2 linked regions of the Oreochromis niloticus genome follow. The protein of the gene in region 1 purifies or fractionates together with the protein of each later gene. This does not show direct contact. Links are inferred from orthologs where the notes say so. Each region holds a gene or a part of one and is shown on either strand. Other genes may lie near its edges. The genes, in order: u2surp and cherp.

Region 1 (11,742 bases):
CATCGGTAGTATACATGTGCTGGGCTCTGGTTCTCAAATAAAAACCTGTCATAAAAAGACATACACAACCTTTATAACTCAGCACATAAAGAATTTTAGCTAACAGAATAACACTACATTTCTATTGTGCAGCTAAGCTCACCTGTACATGGGATTGTTGATCTCTCTGTTCATGATCATGGCTTCAAACATTGGTCCTTCACGCACCACAAACTCGATCATTCGATGGATGAGAGAGAGCAAATTCCTACAAGAAAAACACAGTTAAAGCAAACGGATTCAGACTGGACGGACTCTTGAACACTACTAAAACCTCCCAATTAAAGATTAATTTATTCTTGGTGGTCTGACACACTCAACAGGCTGACTAGGCAAAGACAATTTATGTCACACAAAGAAATGCTGCAAGCCATAAATGCAGCTGTATTGAGCTATACCTGAATAGTAAACTTCTACTGTGATATTATATACTTGGCACAGAATGATGCCTAAATCATTCTAAAATCTTACCACAATACCCATTTATTATTTACTATGGCGACGGTTTAAATGACGGGGAATATGAGACAACAGATGACTGTCAGAGTGCGTCACATGACCAGGAATAAATTAACCATCACTGTGGCTACACCTCTGGGCCTACATATAACATCAATGAATACACGCAAAAAATAAAAATAAAAAATATGTATATAAAAACATTTTGTGACAGTACGACATTCATGTCAATTAAAAAAAACAACAAAAAAAAAAAAGGAAAAGAAAAGCTTTTTTTTATTACGTCTACAAAGGTCATGCCTGTGTTCTTTGAGGCTACAGTGCAACAGCTTTTAATTACATTGCACTGCTCGGAACCTTCATATAAAATATCTCTAAGTTCAAATTTCACAATGTGGGGATGAGTGAAATTGGGAACAACAGGAGCGAGACATTGACAAGACGCCGTACTAACAGGAATATTTGTCAGTACAGTGCCTTTCAATTCCCACTCTTTCCTTCTAATGTAACGTGAAAAAGCAGTACATGATCTTTGGCCTAAAACGGGTTATCTACTAGTGGAGTTGGTACCGACTTAAAACTGTGCAAATGGGATCGTTAGAAGTTCTTCTGTGATAATTTGTAGAGGAAATAAATTGTGCAGGCTGCATACAATTAGCCTAAAGTGGCCAACAAGACAAAGGATGTCTTTCATTTGACAACACAAATCACATTTACTTGTATTGGAGCCGATCGTACCAATGACGGGGTAAAATTCTGTATACTTTCCCAATCCATCCCATGATGCTTTTCAGGTCCCTCGCTGCTGCAGACAGTTCAACTTGTGCTGCTCACCAAGGCCAATGTCAAAGGTCATATATAGACTAATGATGGCAGGTTTGGATTTGTCAGCAGGAGCTAAATTTACTGAGCTCCTCATAGTGACAGAGGCCAAGGGGGGAGACGGTCTGAGTGAGCAATGGTCAGAGAACAGGTTTTCACAACTACGGATCTAGAATCAGCAGATCATGTATGTAGCAGAGTACAACATCACTAAAGTTGAGAAACACGATTTAATGTCTATGTATGGAGTGGTACTGTGAAAGTAATGATCTTTTTCTCTAAACAGCATAGTTATTAAGATCTATAATGATGTTTGGCTACACATGTAAAGAAAATATGAATGATGGAGGGATGTGAAACAAACTTCAGTCTGTATTATTCTAGGTACTAGTATGAAGACGCCGTGCAGCTGCCTCAACCATTGCTCATCCACACTGACCAGCCCCCTGTAGCATGCAGTGATCAAATGATCAAACTTTTTAGTTTCATTATGGGATGTTTTTTTTTTTTTCTAAGTTTGTACACCAATTTAAAAAAAAAAAGAAAAACATGTACCTTTCTGTTGGGATAACCACTTTGACTATGGCTTGCGACAGAGTCTGTATATGAAGTCACATCAGATAATAAACATAGAATGTGAGTATTGTTACAAAGGCAACAGGTGAAAAATATAAAAAATGCATTTAAAAAGTGCAAAAAGACAATAACTTTCCTTTCCTGCTGTCAGTTTTACTAGTGGCCAAACAACCCTGATACTTTACCATAGTAACACCTCTTTGTAACACTGAGCATTTTGCACACATTGACATTTGATAATGACACTTTCTTACACACAACAACTAATTCAAAATCTAAATCCTGTACTGACTGCTTATTATGACTAACATCTTACCACCACAATTAACAAAACATTGCCATATCCCATGAGAAAATCCTAGGCTGACGTATTGAATTACCTTGTCGAACTCCTCCTTGTTTTTAGGTGGAGGAAGCAGAGGAGCATTGGGGTTCTTTAGCCTCTCTCGGGGCTGTGCGTTGAATGGGAGGCCAGAGGGAGGCGGGGGGAGTGTATGCTCCATCATAGAAGGAGGGATATAGATGGGATGGGGGGGAATGGGCACACCTTTTCCCCATCCTAATTTCATCTCAAAGTTCATTATCATCTTTCCTGTTATGGGAGTAAATGTGCATTTAATTTTACCACGCACATGTGAACTGGAAAGAAGATAAAAGGATGTAATATATCAACTTAATAAAAGAATTGGAGATTTGTACCATTTAGGTTTTTGAGTGCTCGCTCTGCATCCCTCCTGTTCATGAAAGCCACAAAGCCACAGTTCCTCTCCCGAGCCCTTTCCTCATCTGTCCTCGGCCACATGATTTTCACACTTGCCAGTGGGCCATACCGGCCAAACTCTTGGCACAGCATCTCTTCGTTCATCTATGAAGTAATAAGAGTGATACAAATTGAGAAACACAGACATTGCATAAATATTTCCCACTTGGAATTAAGGGCATATTTAGCAAATTTCTAAGGAATAGCAACATGCTCAAGCCCCTCCTTTTATGGCATGCTTTACATTACTTCCACTTCATGCATGTGGAGATACAAACCTGTGGATTGATGTTTCCAAGGTACAAGTTAGTAGTGGATGGATCTCCAACGTCATGGGAACCTGGTGCACAGTCATCCAAAACTGCAGACACAGAGAAGAGAAAAGAATTTCCTGCTGCTGTCTGACAGGTCCAACATTATTTTCTTAGCAAGATGAAGGTATTCACGGTCACTATATTAAGTCAAAATTACCACTGGACGGACGGTTTCTTCGTGAAGAACCATCCGCTAAAAGAAGCAGAAAAGCAGTATAAATTTTGTTTCAGGGGTAGATGTGGACAAAGGGACAGAGGGTGGCGTAAGGCAGGAAAGGGCCCTGTCAGGCCAAGTTAGTGCACGTAAGGCAGTCATGTGACTTAAAAACACTTACAGGAGCGTCTTCCATCTGTCCCGGATAGCGGTTCGAAGCGACTAACACGTCCTTTCATCTTGTGTCTTTCATCTCTCTCTTCCTGTATTCTACAAGACACAGACACATATCACAGCTGATTATAATCTGTGTTTAATATATTACAACTTTAATAACCACACCACAAGTCTTAGGAACATCTAATATCCACCACTAAAATCTTTTAACACCTTTCTGTGTTAAAACTTACTGTTTAAGTTCTTCTTTGAAGAGCTCCAAATTACTCTTCTTCTTTTCCTTTTCACTGCTCTTCTTTAAGCCCTACAATGAGAAAACCAGGTAAGTGTTATTCAATGCAAAAGTTAGACAAGATGTTCTCATTCTCAGAAACAGTACTTACATGCCGTTTGTCTAATGCTAAAAATTGTGGTGGGGTTTCCAAAGGCAGGATGCTTTTTGGTTGGTTCTCAAAACGTGACTTGGGCTTGTACAACTTTCCTCTCTTGTCATCAGCAGCTGCTTCCTCTGCAAGGAGAAAAAATCTTTTAGTTTTCGCCCTCCAATCACATTACCATTTCAGTTTCCGAAGTCAAAAGGTTTGGTGAGCTGTTCTTTAACATTTGCATATTTTGCAATCAGTTTCAGAAATATATAATGCAAAACGTATACCTTTCGTTGCATTTGCAATGCCACCACGGACAAAAGCTTTGACTTTTCCCTCCCCTCCTCCTTCAAAAGCAGCAAGAAACTCCTCATAAATTTCAGCTGCCGCTCGTTCATCTTCCTGAATACACACAGGCACACAAAGGTGTCAAAGTAAATAAATCATATAAATCTCTGACAGCTATTATTCATGCAGAGAAAACTGTCCAAAAAGATAATCCATACTTACTTTTTTCTTTATTTCATCTTGTTCCTTTTTGCTGAGGGTTCTCTTTGCCACTGCCATCTTGCCAATGCTGAAAGACTTCAGTTTGCTCTCAAGCAGCGCCTGTACATGTCAACAAAGTATGGTTGTTTTCACCAGGTATTTAATAAGCACACATTACGACTATTTAATAACTGGATGGTAAACAACCACGACTTGTTCAAGTAATGTTGAGTCCTGCTATCATTATTATTATTATTATTATTTAATATGCCTATCAATTATCACGTAAACAGGTAACTTCAGCGCGGTCTGTAGCCGCTGGTTTATAAAGTCGGCTGTATTAAATGGGCGCCTGCAACCGTTACTCAGACATTTAACACTAATTATTTAAGTATAATACATTACACATTTACGACCAAGCTGCAGCTGGAGACCAGGAAAGATTAAGAAATTAGCTAAATTAACAGGAGGCCTAAGAAGTCGCCTTTTGGTGCAGCGCCACGGACTGAATGCATTACGCTAAACGGCGAATGACGGTTAGGCCCCAGCTCCCAAATGCTTAATTTACTATTTCCACACTGAAATATACAACCACTGTACGTCATCCTGAAGACAATGAATGTGTAAAGCTTGTGATTTGCGAACAAGTTTATTCCTGTGATAACTGCTTCCATTAATCCAGTTTATGGTCGCCAACACATTAGCTTAGCTTAGCTAAAACCAGCCAGTGTGGCTGCGGCGCCTCAGTTAGCTGTAGCGCGGCAGTGTTAGCAGACACTGTTGCGCACACTCCCTGTTGTGGTCTTTTACAGCAAACAGTTGGTGCTGTTCAAGCACAAGATTATTCGCACAGTTCCCATTACAACAGGTGCAAATGAGCTAAAACAACTACAAACTATAAGTTTACCTTAGCGCTAGCTTTCTGAGAGCCACCAGGCGTTCGGTCCGCCATCTTTTGTGGAACTGAAATGAATCGATCGCCGAGCTGATGATAGTGGCAACTATGAAACTCCAGGCGTCGCAATCAATCACAGAATCACCGATGCTTCTCTCCTCTCTTCTTTCAGTTTCTCAAGCGCGACACCAGGATTCAAAATGCTACCATGTATTAAAACTATAAATATGTATAAATTAATAAAATTAATACCCGATCTATTACACCGATCAACAGAGATAATGAATTGGCACCGAAATACTTTGAAAGAGAAAAATTAACTAGGTCGACAGGCAGCTCTAACTCTCATTTTTTTCTGTTGTTTTTTTTTCTTTTTTCAATAGAAAATGTATTTGCTGCTCTAAGTGACTTCAATCTCACTCTATCCTTTTTGTTTGTTTGTTTGTTTGTTTGTTTGTTTTTGTCCCCACTGAAAATTCCGATGTGAATGGTGTGTATATGCCATAACCAGCATGCATGTTCCGTATAACTCAAACTGCAGACTCAGACTAAGATATCAGGGTAAATAAACAAAGAATGAAGGAACGTGTATTCATTTAACAGGTGTTGGTCAGTGTCCAAACACTAAACGTGTCCCAAACACGTTTAGTGTTAGTGTTAGTCTTTTTCTTATTTAAATATTAATTTTTGAATTAACTGAAAATAAAATGAGCATCCATGACATTTAAAAATAATGACATGGACTGAGCATTTCAAGAAATGCAAATGGACAAATAGGTAACATGTAAAATAGAAATAATAATTATATAATCAAATAAACAACATAATATGATGGAGAGAACAGCACATTTTTGAATTGGAATTTGAGTGATAATAAAATTGCTTACACCATAGTTTGTCCAGCAGGTGGTGCTCTCTTTCAATCCTCAGATGACCCCTTTGCTGTGCACAACTCTAACAAGCTGCCATATTTTATGTAATTGTATTTTGTATTTCAGTTTATAGACATATATAAAATATAAAATAAAAAAACTTAAGAGTGGAGAACCGAACACAACACAAGTTGCCTCATTCACCTTTAGGCACATGCTGTTATTTGAAGTCAGAAATATACACGTTGATCGGAATGTGAAACCATGCATAGATAACTTCTGGAGTCAAGTTTATTCATGCCATCTCCGTCAAGGTTTTTCGTTTTCAAGCAAACTAATGCAAGACCCCACTCCCTCCCCTCCCAGCGCGTCTTTAACCCCCCCTGAGGGAAAAAAAAAAAAAAAAGAAAGAAAAAAAAAGAAGAAGAAATGTGCACCCTGCGCCCCGTCCCTCCTACCACGCAGAACAAACGCTATATTCATCTGCTTGCTTGAGTTTTCCGTTGCTGAAACTCCTTACAGGAGCTCCTGGGTACTTTTCCCCTCCGTTTTAGCCTGTTGAACACAATGCCATTCATGCCACGGGGCGAAAACAGGCGAAGCTCCTGCTCCGTTTTCCCAACAATGTGGAGAACATGCAGTATTTTTTGCGCATGGACTGTACTGTTCTTGACAGAAGTCTGTGCGCAGTCCCAGCAGAGGTACTTCTTTATTTACTTTTTACCCCAAACTCAAATTTTCTTGAAAGATTTATTAGATTAAAAAAGTGTTAAGGATCCCATTTAGCTCTTTGAAAATCACCGTCAGATGACTGGAGTTAGAAGAATATTGTGCAGTATGGGCTGCCTCGGGACATGTGGCGCATTGGCGAGGAACTGAATGCACTGGATCCAATGGATATTATCAACTTTGTTTTTAAATTTTGCTTTAATGCACCGTTATTATTTTTATTTATATGTATAGAAAATATCTTTCTCCTCAGACCAATCTTTACATGTGGCGGAAACATCACAGAAGAGTCCGGAGTAATCGGGAGCCAGGGGTACCCAGGAGTTTACCCTCCAAATACCAAATGTGTGTGGAGAATCACAGTGAGTCCAGTTGTTTTTTTCATTCATAGAATATGATGACAGTGATAAAGCATTGTTCATTTAAAAGAAACCTACAGTATGACAATCTTTGGCTTAGTCCAAACTCCTAATTTCCTTCTAAAAATAGTTAACCACAGCCGCAGTTAGCTTAGGGCAATCTTTGCTGAGTGACTCTGTGATGTTTCTGTACTTTACAGCAGTGAAGCTGATGATTAGGTTGGAAAAACGGCATAACCTGGGTTAAAATGCACAATTAGGTTAAAAGGTTTGAGAGTATTAAAGTAATTTAGTATTTGCTGAAAGGTCTATGCTCATTTGTTTGTTATGCCATTTAATAATAATAATGATTTAACTAAACATTCTCCAACTCCCCACCCAGGTCCCGGAGGGGAAGGTGGTGGTACTGTCATTCCGCTTCATTGATCTGGAGAACGACAACCTGTGTCGCTATGATTATGTGGATGTCTACAGCGGCCATGTCAATGGACAGAGACTGGGTCGCTTCTGTGGGACGTTCAAGCCAGGAGCCCTTGTTTCCACAGGCAACAAGATGCTCCTGCAGATGGTATCCGATGCCAACACTGCTGGGAGTGGCTTCCTGGCTGTTTTCTCTGCTGCCCATTCACATGAGCGAGGTAAGAAAACATGGGAAGAAGAAGAAGCTTGTGCATGCTTCCTCTTAACACAGTTGTCTTAGTCAAAGGTGCCAAGTTTGCAAGGATAGCAGAACATCTTGCTGCTATCCAAGCATGTAATGCAGAAATATGTGGAGCTTCTGTAATGTTACTAGTAAGAAGTAAATGTTACCTTGTTTGTATGCAGACAACCAGTAAAGCAACAGGATGTATCCGATCGTGTAGTGCTCAGTAAGAGCAGGTCTGTGGGCTAAAAGTCCATGTGGACAAAAAGAACGCTGCGTTTTAACTCTTCTCGCACTGTGATGTGGAATTTCTCATGTTTTTTGGCTATTGTGCTGCAAAGCAAAGGTCAGAAATATCACTTAGAGCCTTTAGCCTTTTCCTCACTGGGCCATCTACTGTTTTTAGAATTTTAATGTCTGGTTTTCTGTACCGTGGGAGCTGACAGCTGTAGTGGACAGTGTCAATTAACCAGTCGGCCAGGCTCTTACACGCTGGCAGAGAGACTGTTGCTATCCTGTCTTTAAACATGGTTAAAACTCTGCTGCATCACATGTCACCCATTTATAAAGATTTGTTTTCTTCAGTTTGCTAAATGTATTTTTTTACATGCTGGAAAGGCAGAATCAGTTAAAGTATGTGTTATAGGGAAAGCGTGTTTTTAAGCGATGTGATCCTTTGAGAGTTATTGTTTGTTTTGAACTGATGTTCCTCTGATGGCAGTTATTTTTAAACCCACAGATGACTAATGACAGACTTGCTTTTTATGGTGTTCATAATGACAAAAAGGCAGTGAGAGCCCTTAGACGCAGTTAATAACATGAGCACATTACTGACTCACCATTGTAGCCTTTAAAAGATTGCTAAATAGCATTCATTATTTCATTCAAGCAATAACAGGAGCAGTATTTAGCTAATTAATTGTGTAATCCTAGCACTAACTTCAGTCATTTCTCCTCAGGGGACCAGTACTGTGGAGGCAGGCTGCTTAAGCCCTCTGGGACTTTCAAAACACCCAACTGGCCTGAGAAGGACTACCCAGCTGGAGTGACCTGCTCCTGGCATATAGTAGCACCAAAGAACCAGGTCATACATTTAATTTTTTACTTTAAAAAAAAATGAGTAAATGCAAATGTTTCTTTCTGAATAACTGGCCTCAAATGAGCTGAAATTCCGGGAGATTGTGCAAACGTTTTGAGTCACTCCTAATTTCTTTGTGTTTTGCTTCCAAGGAGACACCCTGTCTTGCAATTTTTTAAAGTGGCATTTAGCAATACTTCTTCAGGCTTTCTGGAGGGTTTTCAAAGGCTTTCTTTGAACATTGGCTGCTTTTTCACTCATTTTCAGGCCAGTCCTTGTACCTGAGCATTTTCAGGGGACTGTCTTTGTTTGTTTGTTTGTTTGTTTGCTTATTATGCCACTTAACACATATCTGTGAACCATTCAAATATAAAAAAAAAAAGAGACTCCCTTAGTCAAATCTATGAAAAAATGCCAAAGATCTCACAGTTTGACAGGCAGAAAATAGTATTTTTGTAACAACAGAGTGATTCCCAATGAGTTTTTAGGGGAATACACACCATGTCATATCTTGACATGGTGTGTACCAGATAAACAAAGTTTTATAAATAAATGAAGATACAGAAGTTTTTCATCTAGTCTTTTTCCGTGCACGTTTTCCCTCTATATCAATGATGAGTCAATGCCAGTGGCGGAATAACACTCTATTGAAATAAAACATTACAAGTTACCTGAGCCGTTCTTTTAAGAAATCTTAGTAAGTAAAAGGTGGAGTATATCTTTTCAAAAATGACAGCATACACTTTAGTCAGATGGTGCACCCTAGGGCCTGTTATAAGCTTTTGCTAGAAAAAAGAGGATTACTTTGTAACTTGTCTTCTGCTGCAGATTATTGAGGTGAAGTTCGAGAAGTTCGATGTGGAACGAGACAACTACTGCCGCTACGACCACGTCTCCATTTTCAACGGGCCGGAAATAAACGATGCGAAGAGGATTGGCAAATACTGCGGAGACAGCCCCCCAGCGTAGGTGATTTCTGTCATGCTGTAGATTTCATTTTCACTAAACCATCGCGTGATTTCATCTCAGTTCATCCTCAGTCTGCTTTCCCGTGCTGCTCTGCAGGCCGGTGTTGTCGGAGGGGAATCAGCTCCTAATCCAGTTCCTGTCAGATCTCAGCCTGACTGCCGACGGCTTCATTGGGCACTACAAGTTCAGACCAAAGAAATTCCCCACCACAACAGTACTGCCTACAACTACCACACAGCCAGTCACCACCAGGCCAATACGTAGGTAGCAGCTTATATTCAATAGAAACCATTAAAAAACATCTAACATCCATAGACTTCTAATATCTGCATTAGCCGATTTGACTGTATTTGCTTTGTGCTGCTGGATTCTTTGATAACATCTGGGATTTTATATCCTTCTTTCAACTTGAGAAGGATCTGAAATCTGCTTCCAATAGCAAACGTAGGCAAGAGAAGGAAAGAGCGAGGTGCTTAAGTAGTAGTACAGTGTGCTGCTTGTGGCCATGCATTCTGCTACTGTCCCCACACATGTGGCTCACATAAGAGCAAATGCTCTGCTCACATAAAATAGATTATAGCAGTCAGCCAGTGAGTCAATAGAACATACTGGAAAGTGTTGTCCAATTACAGATGCAGCCAAGCACATGTTGTAACACAGCATATGCTAAAACTATGTGTTATGCTCATAAGACTTTTCTCTTGTGTAAACCGTACATAACACAAGGGGTGGGCGTGTGTCTGCACCTGCAATCACAGCTCATTTTCATAGTCAGACTCGCATTCCCACACATTGTTGTTTTTTTCCCTCATTCAGGCTAGGTTATTTTGGCACCCCCCCCGCTATGATATCAAGCTGTGTCACTGCTTTCTGGTTGGCTTATCTCCCCCCCTCACCCGACTTTTCCCTCCACAGTAAGAAAAATATTTGCACAGTCACATTGTATTTTCTTCAAGCCTCAGTTCTTTCCTTTATGGATTCCCTTCTATCTTTAACTTCAAAAACAGACGTTCCCTCGCCACATAATCTAGCTATTGTCTGTGATACTGACAGCCATCCATCTGCAGAGACACTTGTGTTACCAAGAATACTCAGTAAATAGGCTGCAGCAGAAGCAGATGGCAACATAACTTACATGCCCACGTCACTGGCGGGCAAAATTACAGAGGCTGATTTTTTTTGTGTGTGTTTCTTTTTCTCTCTGTGCAGCTCTGAAGTACTCTGTTGCCCTGTGCCGGCAGAAATGCAAAAGACGAGGAACGCTTGAGAGCAATTACTGCTCCAGCGATTTTGGTGAGAACATAAAAGCTTACTGTAACTTATCAAAAACCACATTAAGCCATAGTCACTGATACATTCCAGCCATTTTTGTATCATATAACATATCTGCTTTTGCAGATACTAATCCTAAACAGCTTGAATTGCAGATACTCTGAAGATATATATGAGCAGACCCCATGCTGACAGCCAAAACCCCCCTTAAGTAGCAGTTTATAGTCCTGATTATGTTGCTATCTTTGCTCTGTGATTTTTTTTCCCTTACACATCTCAAAGACTTCCTTGATAGCCTCTCAGGAAGTGAATGACTGCATACAGTAGGGCACGGTTACCTGTAGTCTAAACACACACTCATACTCAGCCGCTGACTGTAGGCAAAGTGGCAATAAATGAAGGTGTTTATTCAGGCTCGGCAATCTGACACATGCGGTTTGTGGCGAGGAAAAGGGGGAAAAAAGGAAAGACGAGTGATGTGGCGGTGAATGCAGAAAAAGTCGCTTTTACGTGATCGGCGCATCTCAATGAAACGGGGAGACGAGACATGACAAGCTGAAAATAGCTGGTCTAATCAGCGCTCGTAACTGCTGGTATTTTAAAATAATCAAATTATGTGGCATCTACACATTAAATCATCAAACGCAGCTCGTGTAACAGTAGCAACAGATATAATAGCAGGACTAAAACAGGCAGTCCTCTGGCTAATTTCATCCCTGTCAGGAAATGAAACAGGCGGCATGTGAAGTCCAGACGCATTGGTACCATCA
Region 2 (11,747 bases), on another chromosome or scaffold:
AATTCTTCCAAAAGTCGAAGTCATATTTATCTTGTCTCTGCTTAGTGTCTCTTAAAGTTCCTCTGACTTACATATTTAATGTTTCTGACAAACAATAAAACAACATGAGATGATGAGTATATGGGGACTATTACGACTGCATTTTAACCAGTCAATTTCAAACTGCTGCTCTGCTCACATTCAGGTTTTTATGACCGTAACATGGTGTGTATACCCTCTGAAAATTAGCAAGATCTTGTTACCACTCACTTAGAACTCGCCAAAGCAAATGGTGGAGAGTCCCAGGTATTTAAACCCTAGTGGGGGTTGTGCCTTAATGGGTCGATTATGCTCACCATGTCTCACACTGATTTTTGTTGTGACACAATCTTTGTGGTGTGTCTGCTGGTTGTGCACCTCTCGATTTTTGTAACCTGGCACACTGTGCTGCAGCCACCACAAGGAAGTTTTTCCTTCCCACTGTCGCCAGAGTGCTTGCTCATAGGGGGTGATATGATTGTTGGGGTTTTAAATTGAATTGATTAGACAGCAGATCAGACATATGCAGGGAGTTTATAGATACACCAAGAGTAAAAACCAGATCCAGTGTGTTCCAGTAACACACTACCCTAAATTAGATGACTTAACAGTGTTTTTTTTTTTTTTTATTAGTCCTTTATTTATTCAGGTAAAAATCTCATTGAGATTTAAAATCTCATTTCCAAGAGAGACCTGGCTACACTGGTATTGTGAAATTTTGCCTAGTAGCAATGGTAACGAAAACAGCTGTCTCTGTAATAGAGTGGGAGTGAACAGAAATCCCACAAGAGTGAAGGGTTAGTTCAGTGCCTGTGGACAGATTATGTGAATCCCAGTGGTTTCGGTGAAGGCAATTTCGCTTGAAAAAGTTCAGAGCAGTTGAGGAATGACAGGTTGTAGTACAACAAAGGGAATTTCTTTAATAATGCATTAGTTCTTGAACCAGATGTGCCATTGAACTCTGAACAGCTGAACTTTACATTACTAAATAAAAGGGGGTACAACAGCAGGTCACTGCTTTCCAGTGGCTGCCCACGAGGTGTATAAAGCCTTACTTGAGGTTCTCTGACGATATATTAAGTCATTAGTGCCAAGACAGACAACTATTGCAGAGACTTTGTGGTCTTAATGTCCTTCATGTGGGCACCGCCATGTGTCAGACCATAGAGTAGCCAACAACAAGCACCAGAATTAAAAGAAGACTCAAGGTGGTGGCAGATGGTGAGCAGTTAGGGGGCACAGTAGCATGTCATCAATCAGATCCAGCAGTGGGAGCAGCAACAGCAGCAGAAATAGAGGTGGCAGTGGCAGCAGCATTGCCCAACCAAGACAAGCGCTGATCCCCAACTTACAAGAGGGAGTCTTGGAACATCTTGTCATCTTGTAACACTGAGTATACCAGCAGACAATGTCCACACACATGCATAGTCTGAGAGCAGCAAGCAGTTAGTAAACAGGCTAAATAAATAAATATAATAATAATATTTTAAAAAGGCTAGCAAGGAAACCACGCTTCAGGGATGGGTTGGAATGCAGTGGTGACACTATAGAGTTGAAGATGTCAAAGTAGAGGGTATAGTTTCTGCACCACCCAAGATTTAATAAACTTAGTAAAAGTTTTTAGGAAAAACTTTAAAAGGCAGCAGGAAACATCGAGAGCAGCCTGGAAGATGGCGGTTCAGAAGTGATGTGACAATAAAGGCATGATAACAACCAGTCAATTCAAATACAACAGTCAAAATTGTTTTTCAGTTACCTTCAAAATTAATTAATATCCTGTTAAATTAGTCCAAGCCTAAATTGTAGGTCTGTTCTGTAGCAGGTAAAATGAAAATCTAGTTGTAAGTTTTAGGCAGATTTTGTGATATGCTCTTACCTCAATGACAGGATCCTGACTGTACTCTTTCAGTAGGTCCAGAACCGCAGAATCACCAATTGCCCCCAGAGCTTCCCCTACAAGCACACAGAGATAGCAGTCAGACTTCAAAACTGCACCGCTGTTTCCAGCTTTCATTTGTTTTTGCATCCTGCAAACTGCAAGTCTCAAAATATTTTCTGAAAAGCTTCCATCGTGCTTGCGCCAGGAAAGTATAGTGAGTTTGCATACACATGTATGTAAACTTATACTTTTCTACACAAATTTATGTTTAGCAGAAAGAGAGTGGTTAAATATTAGCTCACTAACAGTCCCTCATGCCAAATACACATTCTCAGTTTCTTTCAGTTCAATGTGACCTTCTTTAGGGACAATTCTGGCAAAGTGTAGCCTTTTCGCAAGGCACCTAGTGCTCCTTACAAAGACCACTAAAGCATCTTAATGTGGGGGCAGTATATTTGGCTACTCATTTTGGTTTTTGTTGTTTTGGCAGTCCATGCTATCATACAGATGCCGTGATTGGTACTCCAGTGGATTGAATTCCAGCTCCACTGTCTGCATCAATGGTCCTTGTGGTGCTCTAGAGACCAGAGCGAGCTAGGGAGAGGATTGCATCCCTCAAACCAGAACCTGCAGTACATGAAACTGGTCTACATGTCACTACTCCATCTCCACAAGGCTGCAGTGCAAAAAAAAAAAAAGACTTTGTAACCAGCCCAAAATGGCAAAGCTTCAGACTCATTTGACAAGCAGCTGCTTATACTGCTTTTTGTCACAAAGTACTTAGCAAAGGTAAGATTTGTGGAGGAGCAACTAAATTATTTAATTGTTTAATTATACCACCTTACCTAAATGACCGTTAAGAAAAAAAATTGATGACAAGGGAGTAGTTCATTTTCTACTACTCTAGGTATTTTACACAGTGCACGTGTGTCTGTATTGCATGTGTGTTGTAAAAATACAAAAAGCAGATTAATTGGGAACTTCTGTATTTAGTGCAGCAACAAATGAACACCTGGACACGCACCATCTGTGCAGAGCACAGAGCTTACATAAAACATACTGTGTCAAAATACTTGTGTTTGGTAGTACACCGACTCCTCATCCCCATCAAGCACGCTTACCTGCTTCATGCCTAACCATTGGCTCCTGCTGTTTATCTTTGAGAACAGCAGTCAAAGTAGGAATGGCCCGTTTGTCCTGCATCTGTCCCAGGCAGTAAGCCAACTCATGCTTCAGCAGGGCTGATTCATCAGCGAAGGCTTTGCTGATCCATTCTATAGCTTCAGCACCTGACACACACAGATGACAGCTTGAATTAGTTCACCCAAAAGTCACTACCGGCATTCAGTCACACCAAATATATTGCAACAATATGCAACAGCTGTGCTGTGATTTCAGTTTGCATTAAAAAAAAGATCTTTCAGAGAAAAAGAAACAACTGAATGTCTTGTCTTTCAGACAGTACAGTGCTGCTTTCTGTGATTAAGCCAACCATACGAAGAGGAAAAGACTGGTGGCTGCAAGCGCGAGGGCAAGACGTTATTGCAAAGTTTAGAGATTTAAAGATTACTTTTTTTCCTGTGAGTTTTGTTGGAAAACATAGGGGCTACTAAAATATGCTGAAAGGACAGAAACAACCACAACTACATTTGAAAAAAAAAAAAAAGAAGAAGAAGAAACTGAATGTGTGGGGTGATTCCCACCCCTACAAACCAATGTTGGAGTCCTACATACTACTGCAAATCTTGAGCACTGGGCACATGGACTGCCGCTATTTTGTTACTTAGCTGAGTGCTTTTGTCATTTGTCCAGTTTTTGAAAATAAAAAATAAAACTATGTGGTCCTGGTGTTTTACCTCCCAGGTTCCTCAGGGTAAATAAAGCTCTGAACCGCTTGGTCAGGTCCTGTCTCGGGTCCACCAGCTCCTGTCCTATTGATCCAATCTTCTCGACAGTAGCCATGCTGCTGGAAAGAGAGCAAGACACTTATGAATCTTGGACCTGTAAACTTAGAGCAACGTGAAAGCTTTTTTTTCCTCACTCATAGTTTAGTGGAGAAAATTATATATATTCAAGTCTTAATTTATCTTATTTATACTAAAAATCTATAACTGCTAGGTGAAAACAAAACGTTTATATCAGGGGTCCCCAATCCCAGTCCACGGGGGCCGGTGTCCTGCAGGTTTTAGATGCGTCCTTGATCCATCACAGCTGATTTAAATGGATAAATTACCTTCTCAACCCCTGGTTTATATAGACTATAACCGAGCCATATGAGGATTTTGACTAAATACCTGGAGTCCAGGCCAATATTAAAACCAGCTACGGAGGGTATAGTATTTAGATGTAGTTTCTGTCGACGGCCTGCAGCTAGCTCTGTACTTTACATGATGTATTATTGATCTTTTTCACGCTTCTCTCCTTCCTGGTGAACACCGCTGTCACTTCACTACATTCCGGTGTCTTGCGCCTGCGTCGGGAGCACGCGCTGAGCACACCGGCTTCCACAAATAAACCATCGCCTATCATTGGCTGAACTCTTTCACAACAACATCACACGGTATCCACTAACGCCACCACACAACGGCGCCCAGTGTAAACGTTGTCTAAACGTACCAAGCTTCAGTATGTACAGTATTTCACACACCTCCGTCACGGTCCCCACAGCACAATCCACGGACAGTCGCAGGAAGTTGTTGTGTCCTTCTTCTTTTTGTTATTTGTGCAGGTGGTTGGAAAACTACGAAATTGTGTTTTGCCGCCACCAACTGGTATGGAGTGTAGACTGAAATGTGGCTCAAAAAACAAAAAAAACAGGGCTATTTATGAACATAAACCACACACCTTTAAAATATTTGGAATGGAGGTAGCAATAGAAAAAAAATCAAATAATGTTATGTGTAACTTTTTTCTTTAGTTGGACAGATAAAATAAAAAAGAAACTCATGCTATACAAGTGCAGCACAATTTACAGACAGTTGTACTGTGTATTACTACTGTGCTGACTGAGAGGTGATGTCCTTCAAGTAAAAAAGAGTGCTTCTTCACCTCAGTGTTCTAGTGGGGGTTATTGGGGGGCTATTTTCCTTGAAAATTTCACCTGATAGTCAAGGAATTTAAATAAAATAGAGTAAATTTATAATTAGTCAGTTTGCTGATAAAATGCCTTTGTTGTTGTATTTTTCATTTTTTTTGTAAAAGAACTTGTGATCTCTAAAGGAACAAAATTAATTTTTCTCAAAAGCATCTGGTCTGATTGTAAATGTTCTGATATGTCAGATTTTAGCAATTTGCAATCTTGATTTAAATTTTTACATCGCGGTAAAACGAGAGGTGAAATACTTTAATAAAGTATAAAGTATATCATAATAATAAAATGATCTGTTGTTGAAAGGAACATTTGAATACCACTCCTAAATTTCTTATTAAAGCGATTTGAAATTGAGGTTGACTCATGTAATTTTTGTACTTCTGAATGTGAAACTGGTGATCATTTCTATTTTAAATTCTCCTCATGTGAGTTTATTTTGGTCAGACATTTACAGTTGACTTTATCTGAAAATAGTCAACATTTCCATGCTTACTTATTGTTTCTTTTGGGGTTGAACAACAAAATTTCTGATACTGTTAATCTAATTATTATTCTGGGTAAATACCATTTTAATTCTTAAAATCATCAATTAATGTAATCTGACTAACTGCATGTCTTTGGACTGTGGGGGGAAGCTGGAGAACCAGAGGAGAATATTCAAACTCCACACAGAAAGGCCCTAGCCAGATTGTGGATGTGAACCCAGGACCTTTTTGCTGTGACACAATAGTGCTAAACACTGTGTTGCTAAGCTCAAAATATGTATATGTAGATCCTTGCTCCTTTGACCCATCGAGCCTTGCTTTTATAAACCCCTTTTGTTTGTTCATTTTTTCTGGTGTTCTGTTTTTCTTTTCCCTTTTTTAATTTCTGCCATTTGGGCATTGGACCTTAGATGGTTAGGAAAAACTGTTGACTGATGCTTTTGAACCCCGTCTTTTGCTGATCATACAACAAACAAACAAAAAGATAGCTCTGCACTGCCAAGTGGGTCATTTGAAATGACCAACTGGATAGCACAGCATTCCCATTGGACTGGGTGCTGGATCCAGCTGGATAAGTGTCTTGTTTGGTCTATCTGTCCAAAAGGTTTGCCTCCTATATTGACCAGGAAGAGAAACTACGGGGTTTCAACCATGTTTTCTAGGATAGGATTTTGTAAGCATATATAATAAAGATCAGGACTAAAGATATTTTAAAATGTTGTATTTTTTTAATATATATTTTACTTATAGTTAAATAAAAATATTTTCATTTTTGGACGTTTACTCGCCGCTGCAACCATCAATCCACCCAAACGAGCAAGGCGCGAACACTCCTCCCAGTCGCAAGGGGCGCTGGAGACAATTCCATAGCCATCTTTTGTGGCGCTGTTTCTGTATCGCATTTCCTGTGCGTAGCAGCGGCAATGCAAGTGATTTTGGGGGAATTTGATATATCTTTTTCTGAAAAAGTAAAGAATTTGGCGGAGTTTTTACATACATATTCTGGCTAAGTGGTTCGCTGGAACAGAAATTAAACATGGATATCCCCAGTCCTCCCGAAGGTGAGCCGTACACCACAGCTATTTTAAATTTCGATTCAACGTAAGCGAGCACCCATGCTATCTGCTACATAGCTAACAAAACCATTGGATTTAGCATGTTGATTAAGGTCACCGATCAGAAGTGGATGAATGTTTAACCGGGCTCTGTGTGTAATCATTGCACCAACTAACGTGAAAAATGGTGTAGAAATAATCCAGTAATAGAGAGTAAACGTTAGTTGTTCTAACTTTTCACGGCTGCTGGCTTTTAAGAAAAAGAACCCCCATAGAAAGAAGATCCCTTATAGATATTTTTGTGCTACAGCAGCACGATTAAGAGTAAAATTAAAGCCAACTGATTTAATAATACTATGTAGGAATATAGAAATAATTCATGCTTACGCAACCTCATTTCTAGATATTTCTGTTTCAGAAGAAATTCATTATTTTCTAAATCTGTTTTATTTGATTTTTTTAAAAGAACTTCAGTCACTATTATTTCTGTCTATTTCAGTGTCTCTGTTCTGTGGTTTTTACAACAACATTTTTCACTGTATTTATGTCTGTTTTTTTTGTACAGATCAGGAGCTTCGAAATGTGATTGATAAGCTGGCCCAGTTTGTTGCCCGAAATGGCCCAGAGTTTGAGAAGATGACGATGGAAAAACAGAAGGACAACCATAAGTTCTCCTTCCTTTTTGGGGGCGAATACTTCAGCTACTACAAGTACAAACTTGCTATGGAACAACAGCAACGTATGTAGTTAAACTGACACATCACAATAAAAACAGAATTTTCACATAGAGGTCAATTTAGTATTGGAATATTAAGTTCATTTGATGTTCAGTACTTTGGATTTCTTACTATAATAGAAATATTCAAACTAAAAAAAATGTAATAAAAAACAGTTTTTACAGATAAAAGCGGAAAAAAACCCCCAACCCAGTACATGCACCAGATATGTTGGCAGAATTATTTACTTTTCTGTTTTGGGGTGAAACTGTTAATTGAACAGTCCAGCATTGTATTGGTAATGTGAATCTGTTTTTGGCATGGATTTTTTTCCTTTTGATTAAAGGCTTTCAGACTGCCTTTATATCATCACCTGGCAGCAGTAGTCCTTCTGCTCGCAGCCTTCGTCAGCTGCAGAGTCAGTTCTCTAGCTCACAGAAAATCTCCCCAAAAGCAGAACAAGGATATCAGTCAGTAAATGCACTAAAGACAGTGGACTTGGAATCTCACTACAGGATAAAAGGTGTCCAAATGACACTTTGGTCTGGCTTAATAGCAACCGGGCAAATCTGTGGAAGGAACTGTTGCAGCTAAATTTGAAAATACAAATCTTTAAATTTAGAATCTCTTCAATAATCAAAGACACGTTGGTGGTGTCCAAAGAATCATTTTCATATCCGACATTTGGGTAGGAGGATTAGCAGATGAAGCACTGTTTTGTAGTATCTTACAGTGCGCTGTCTACACATACAGTTTTTCCGGCAGTCTTCAAGGAGACATCAGTGAATTATAATGTAAATAGCTAAGTGGGCATTGTAGCAAGTTTGCCACTACAGGAACCCCTCTATATGTACCTTGCATACAGTTTCTTTGTTCGGTGTTTCTCTCTTTATTTACGCACATACAACGAGTTTCAAAATTCTGTCACTCTCCATGCTTTTAGGAGGTTGAGGTGGTATACTTGTGTGGCACCAATCCTGTGTCCACCCCACTTCACAATCTATGTCCCCCACTCGCCACATGGCCATAAAGGGTCCTTGCTAGTTGGCGAGTAATTTTGAATTGCAAATGGGAAGAAATACGTGTATTTTACCTCCCAGTTTGAGCTGTCTGAGTCTAGTGCCTCTGTTGTACAGGTGCTGCTAACATTCCTTTTATCACTCAGCCGTAAAAGGCTGATGGGGTTTCTTGTCACCCTGTTAAGGTCAGAGGTCAAATCTTCTGAAAATCTTGTGAATGCGATACCGCAAGAGGGAAGTCACCTAGGATTTTCAAATTGATACCACAGGTGCATCTAGTAAAAATGAATGCCATAACTTGAGAACAAGATGACATAGGATTTTGAAACTGATACCACAGGTATGTCTGTTAGAACTGATTCAAGTTTGGTGTTTTTGTTATTGTTGTGTAGGACAACAAAATAACAACATTTTGGCAACCCCTGAACATGCAAAATATTCAAAAAAATGTGCAAAATGGCAAATATTTAAAAGTACACATGAAGAATAAAAAAATAAATAGAATAAAAGAATACAAAATACGTACAAGGTCATAAAACGTATGTGCAAAGATAAGAACATTATGAAAATTTAGTAATGACTTTACAAGTTGTATGTGCAAGTTTCACAGTATAGCAAATGTAGTGCTATTACACAGAAGTTGTAATAGGAAGGCTAGCAATCATGTGTGGACTGTGTGTATGTGTGTAGCAGCATTTGAGTATAGTTGATGTACATAGGATCAAGTTCTGTTCTTCTTGACTGTCTGAAATCCACCACAATCTCCTTGGCTTTGCTGCTGTGTAGTATGAGTTTGTTGATGGGGCACCAGGCGATTAGGCTCTACACTTTTTCTCTATCTGCAGTCTTGTTGTTAATGGAGATCAGGCCAGTGACTGTGTGTCGTCCGCAAACTTGATGATGGTGTTTGTTGTGTTTGAAGGTTGACAGTCATGGTTGAACAGGTCTTACAGAACAGGGCTCAGCTCACATCCCTTTGGTACATTGAGGATGGAGGATGCGCGTTTGCCCATCCTGACAGTCTGGGGATAGTTGGTTAAGAAATACAGGGTCCACCTAAAGATGGTCGGGCTGAGACGGTTTGGGAGTTTGGACACCAGTTTGCGGGGACACCGGTATTAAAAGCAGAACTGAAGTCCAGGAAGAGCATTCTACAGTACCTGCCTGGTTTGTTGAAGTGCTCTAAGGTGGTATAGAGTGTAAGGCTGATGGCTTCCTCTGTTGACTCTGGTCCAGAGTGGCTGTGATCACTTAATGTGAGCCACAATCAGTCTTTCAAAGCATTTTGCTATCATCAGGTTAAGTGTAATTGAATGATAGTCATTTAGGCTGCTCTTAGTTCTTTGTTTTGGAATGGGCACAATGGTTGTAGTTTTGAGGCATGTTGGTGCACTCCCAGAAATCGAAGAGAGGTTAAAGATGTTTGTGAAAACCTCTGCAAGGTGGTCAGTGCAGGTCTGCAGAACACACTCCAGAACACCATCAGGTTCTGTAGCCTTTCTGGGTTTAATTCTGTGCAATAACACTCCTAATGTCATTTCTTTCCAAGACAGTTCAGGCTGGGCTGGTAGGGGATGGAGGTCGATTTCGCTTGCATCATTGTACCTGCTGAAATGGGCAAAAACGATGCTTCAGTCAGGGAAGGATTACTGCTTACTTTGAGGGTTTTTCTTTGATAGTCTGTCAAATGTTGTGTGGCTTGCCACATATTATCTGAGTTGTTTTTGTTGAAACTGTCCTGAATCTGTAATTGTTCTTTGAAGGCTCAGTGCTGTGTTTGAGATTTGCTTTTGCTAGGCTATAAGATGCCACATCCTGGGCTTTGTAAGCAACATCCCTGATTTTAAGCAGCTCTCTGGCCTCTTTATTGACCCAGGGTTTCTGTTTTCAGAACACTTTGATTAGTTTCAATGTGATGACCAGGGCAGTGCAGAAGTTGATGTAGGATAGAACAAATAATTTGTACACTTCTAAGTGTATTCCAGTCTGTTTATTCAAAGCAATCTTGAAGTAGACAAGGTCTTAATCATTCTGTTGGTTGGTTTAGTTCTGCAAATGAGGGGTTTGTAGGTCAGTACCATTAGCAAGGAGAGATGATCAGAGTATAGTTGATGTACTATACATCAACTATACACTGACCACCCGGGGTCTCCTGAGAAGGCTCTGCAGGATCAGTGTTGGACAGAACCCAGGTGACTCTGTCTGTCATGAGCACACCCTCCCAACATTGTCCTACCAGTTTATTAAACCTCAGCCAGTCCGTCCCTAAGAATCAAGGGTTGCACAAGGCAGGCTGTTTGTAAACTGGAAGCAGCGCCCATAACTGCTGCGACGTGAAGAAAAAGAGCAGGGACAAAGCTTCTTCCTCAGAGCAGGGACTGGAAGGCTTCCAGCCGGTTACATACTTTTATTTATATTTTAAAATCTAATAAGAAATATCACTGAAATATTACTTTTCAAAAGAAGTCAAAATAGTAATTGTACTAACTATGCACAAATTAAATCTTTAGTTTACTTAAAAAGCTGTAAAAATATATGAAACTTCCCACATGCAGCTTCAGCAATGCTGCTTTAGAGAACCTTCTCATATTCTTCCGTGAGGAGCAATCCAGTCACGTCCTTATTGTGAGGACAGCAGTTCTTTGAGCAAAATGGAAATATTTTCTTGGTATAGATACGGATCTTTACAAAGAAGTGAACTTAATATGAGAGTAAATTACATTATTTACTGTGCTACAGTTGGCTTTGATTACTTAAGCATAGTCACCTAATCAGCAGCCTGATACTAAAAGCAGAGTGTTGTGCAGTTTTGCATGGTGTTCTTCTGTCAGTTGTGTGATACCACTGAAATGCATTAAAGTTTGCCTTTCTCCACTTAGATCCCTCTACCCACGATGGGGAGGAGTATAAATCTAAAGGTATTTATTTAAAATCAAAATTTTCAGATAAATTTCAAAATTCTATTTGGAAAGTCACATTTTGTTATGCACTTTTTTGCCAGATGCCACAACATTGTGCTTTAAAATACTTTGGTTTGTTTTCATTTTGCATGTTCACATTTTTTGCTTTTTCAGTGAATTTCTCTTGGCCATACCTTCTTAATGATCTTGATTAAAATGGGCTCCATCTTGAAGCAGGTTTGATTACATGCACAGATACAAAGACACCGACTCAGGGTGTTGTTTATTCTGTTTGTCTGTAACATGCTTCTGCTCAGGGCAGCTATAGAATAAGGGCTGCACAATTTTAAAAATGTCAGTATTGGTTGAACTAGTTTCTGCATTATTTTCCTAATTCTTGGAAAAGTCTTGGCCCAGATCAGCTTGTTTATTTCTTGGTACTCAAATTCGTACTACAGTCAGTACTATAGTATTACAGATATTATTGGCAAGTGGCATCAGAAGCTAAATGTTAAGCTAAAACAAAGTTGTTGTTGTTCTTGTTATTTCTTATTATTATTATCGTCAGTTCAAATGCTGTAATA

Evidence for each region.
Region 2: the proteins of u2surp (region 1) and cherp purify together in Homo sapiens (affinity purification with mass spectrometry; 4 studies listed by BioGRID and IntAct, with this or other methods). This does not show direct contact. The link is inferred for Oreochromis niloticus from reciprocal best matches to the Homo sapiens genes U2SURP and CHERP.

Annotation. Positions count from the first base shown.
Region 1 is NC_031974.2:17,222,566-17,234,307, forward strand, and holds the start of u2surp (U2 snRNP-associated SURP motif-containing protein), read right to left. Parts: upstream 5,201-11,742; 5' UTR 5,108-5,200; coding exon 5,063-5,107; intron 4,276-5,062; coding exon 4,177-4,275; intron 4,069-4,176; coding exon 3,954-4,068; intron 3,810-3,953; coding exon 3,685-3,809; intron 3,606-3,684; coding exon 3,535-3,605; intron 3,395-3,534; coding exon 3,306-3,394; intron 3,164-3,305; coding exon 3,128-3,163; intron 3,018-3,127; coding exon 2,935-3,017; intron 2,762-2,934; coding exon 2,596-2,761; intron 2,489-2,595; coding exon 2,277-2,488; intron 1,920-2,276; coding exon 1,876-1,919; intron 248-1,875; coding exon 143-247; intron 46-142; coding exon 1-45. Other genes in the region: pcolce2b (procollagen C-endopeptidase enhancer 2b), read left to right, coding at 6,490-6,623, 6,905-7,013, 7,393-7,648, 8,613-8,737, 9,560-9,696, 9,797-9,960, 10,910-10,993.
Region 2 is NC_031981.2:23,792,291-23,804,037, reverse strand, and holds the start of cherp (calcium homeostasis endoplasmic reticulum protein), read left to right. Parts: upstream 1-6,358; 5' UTR 6,359-6,509; coding exon 6,510-6,534; intron 6,535-7,093; coding exon 7,094-7,267; intron 7,268-11,142; coding exon 11,143-11,181; intron 11,182-11,747. Other genes in the region: dohh (deoxyhypusine hydroxylase), read right to left, coding at 1,895-1,971, 3,019-3,186, 3,754-3,859. UniProt on the Homo sapiens protein: Involved in calcium homeostasis, growth and proliferation.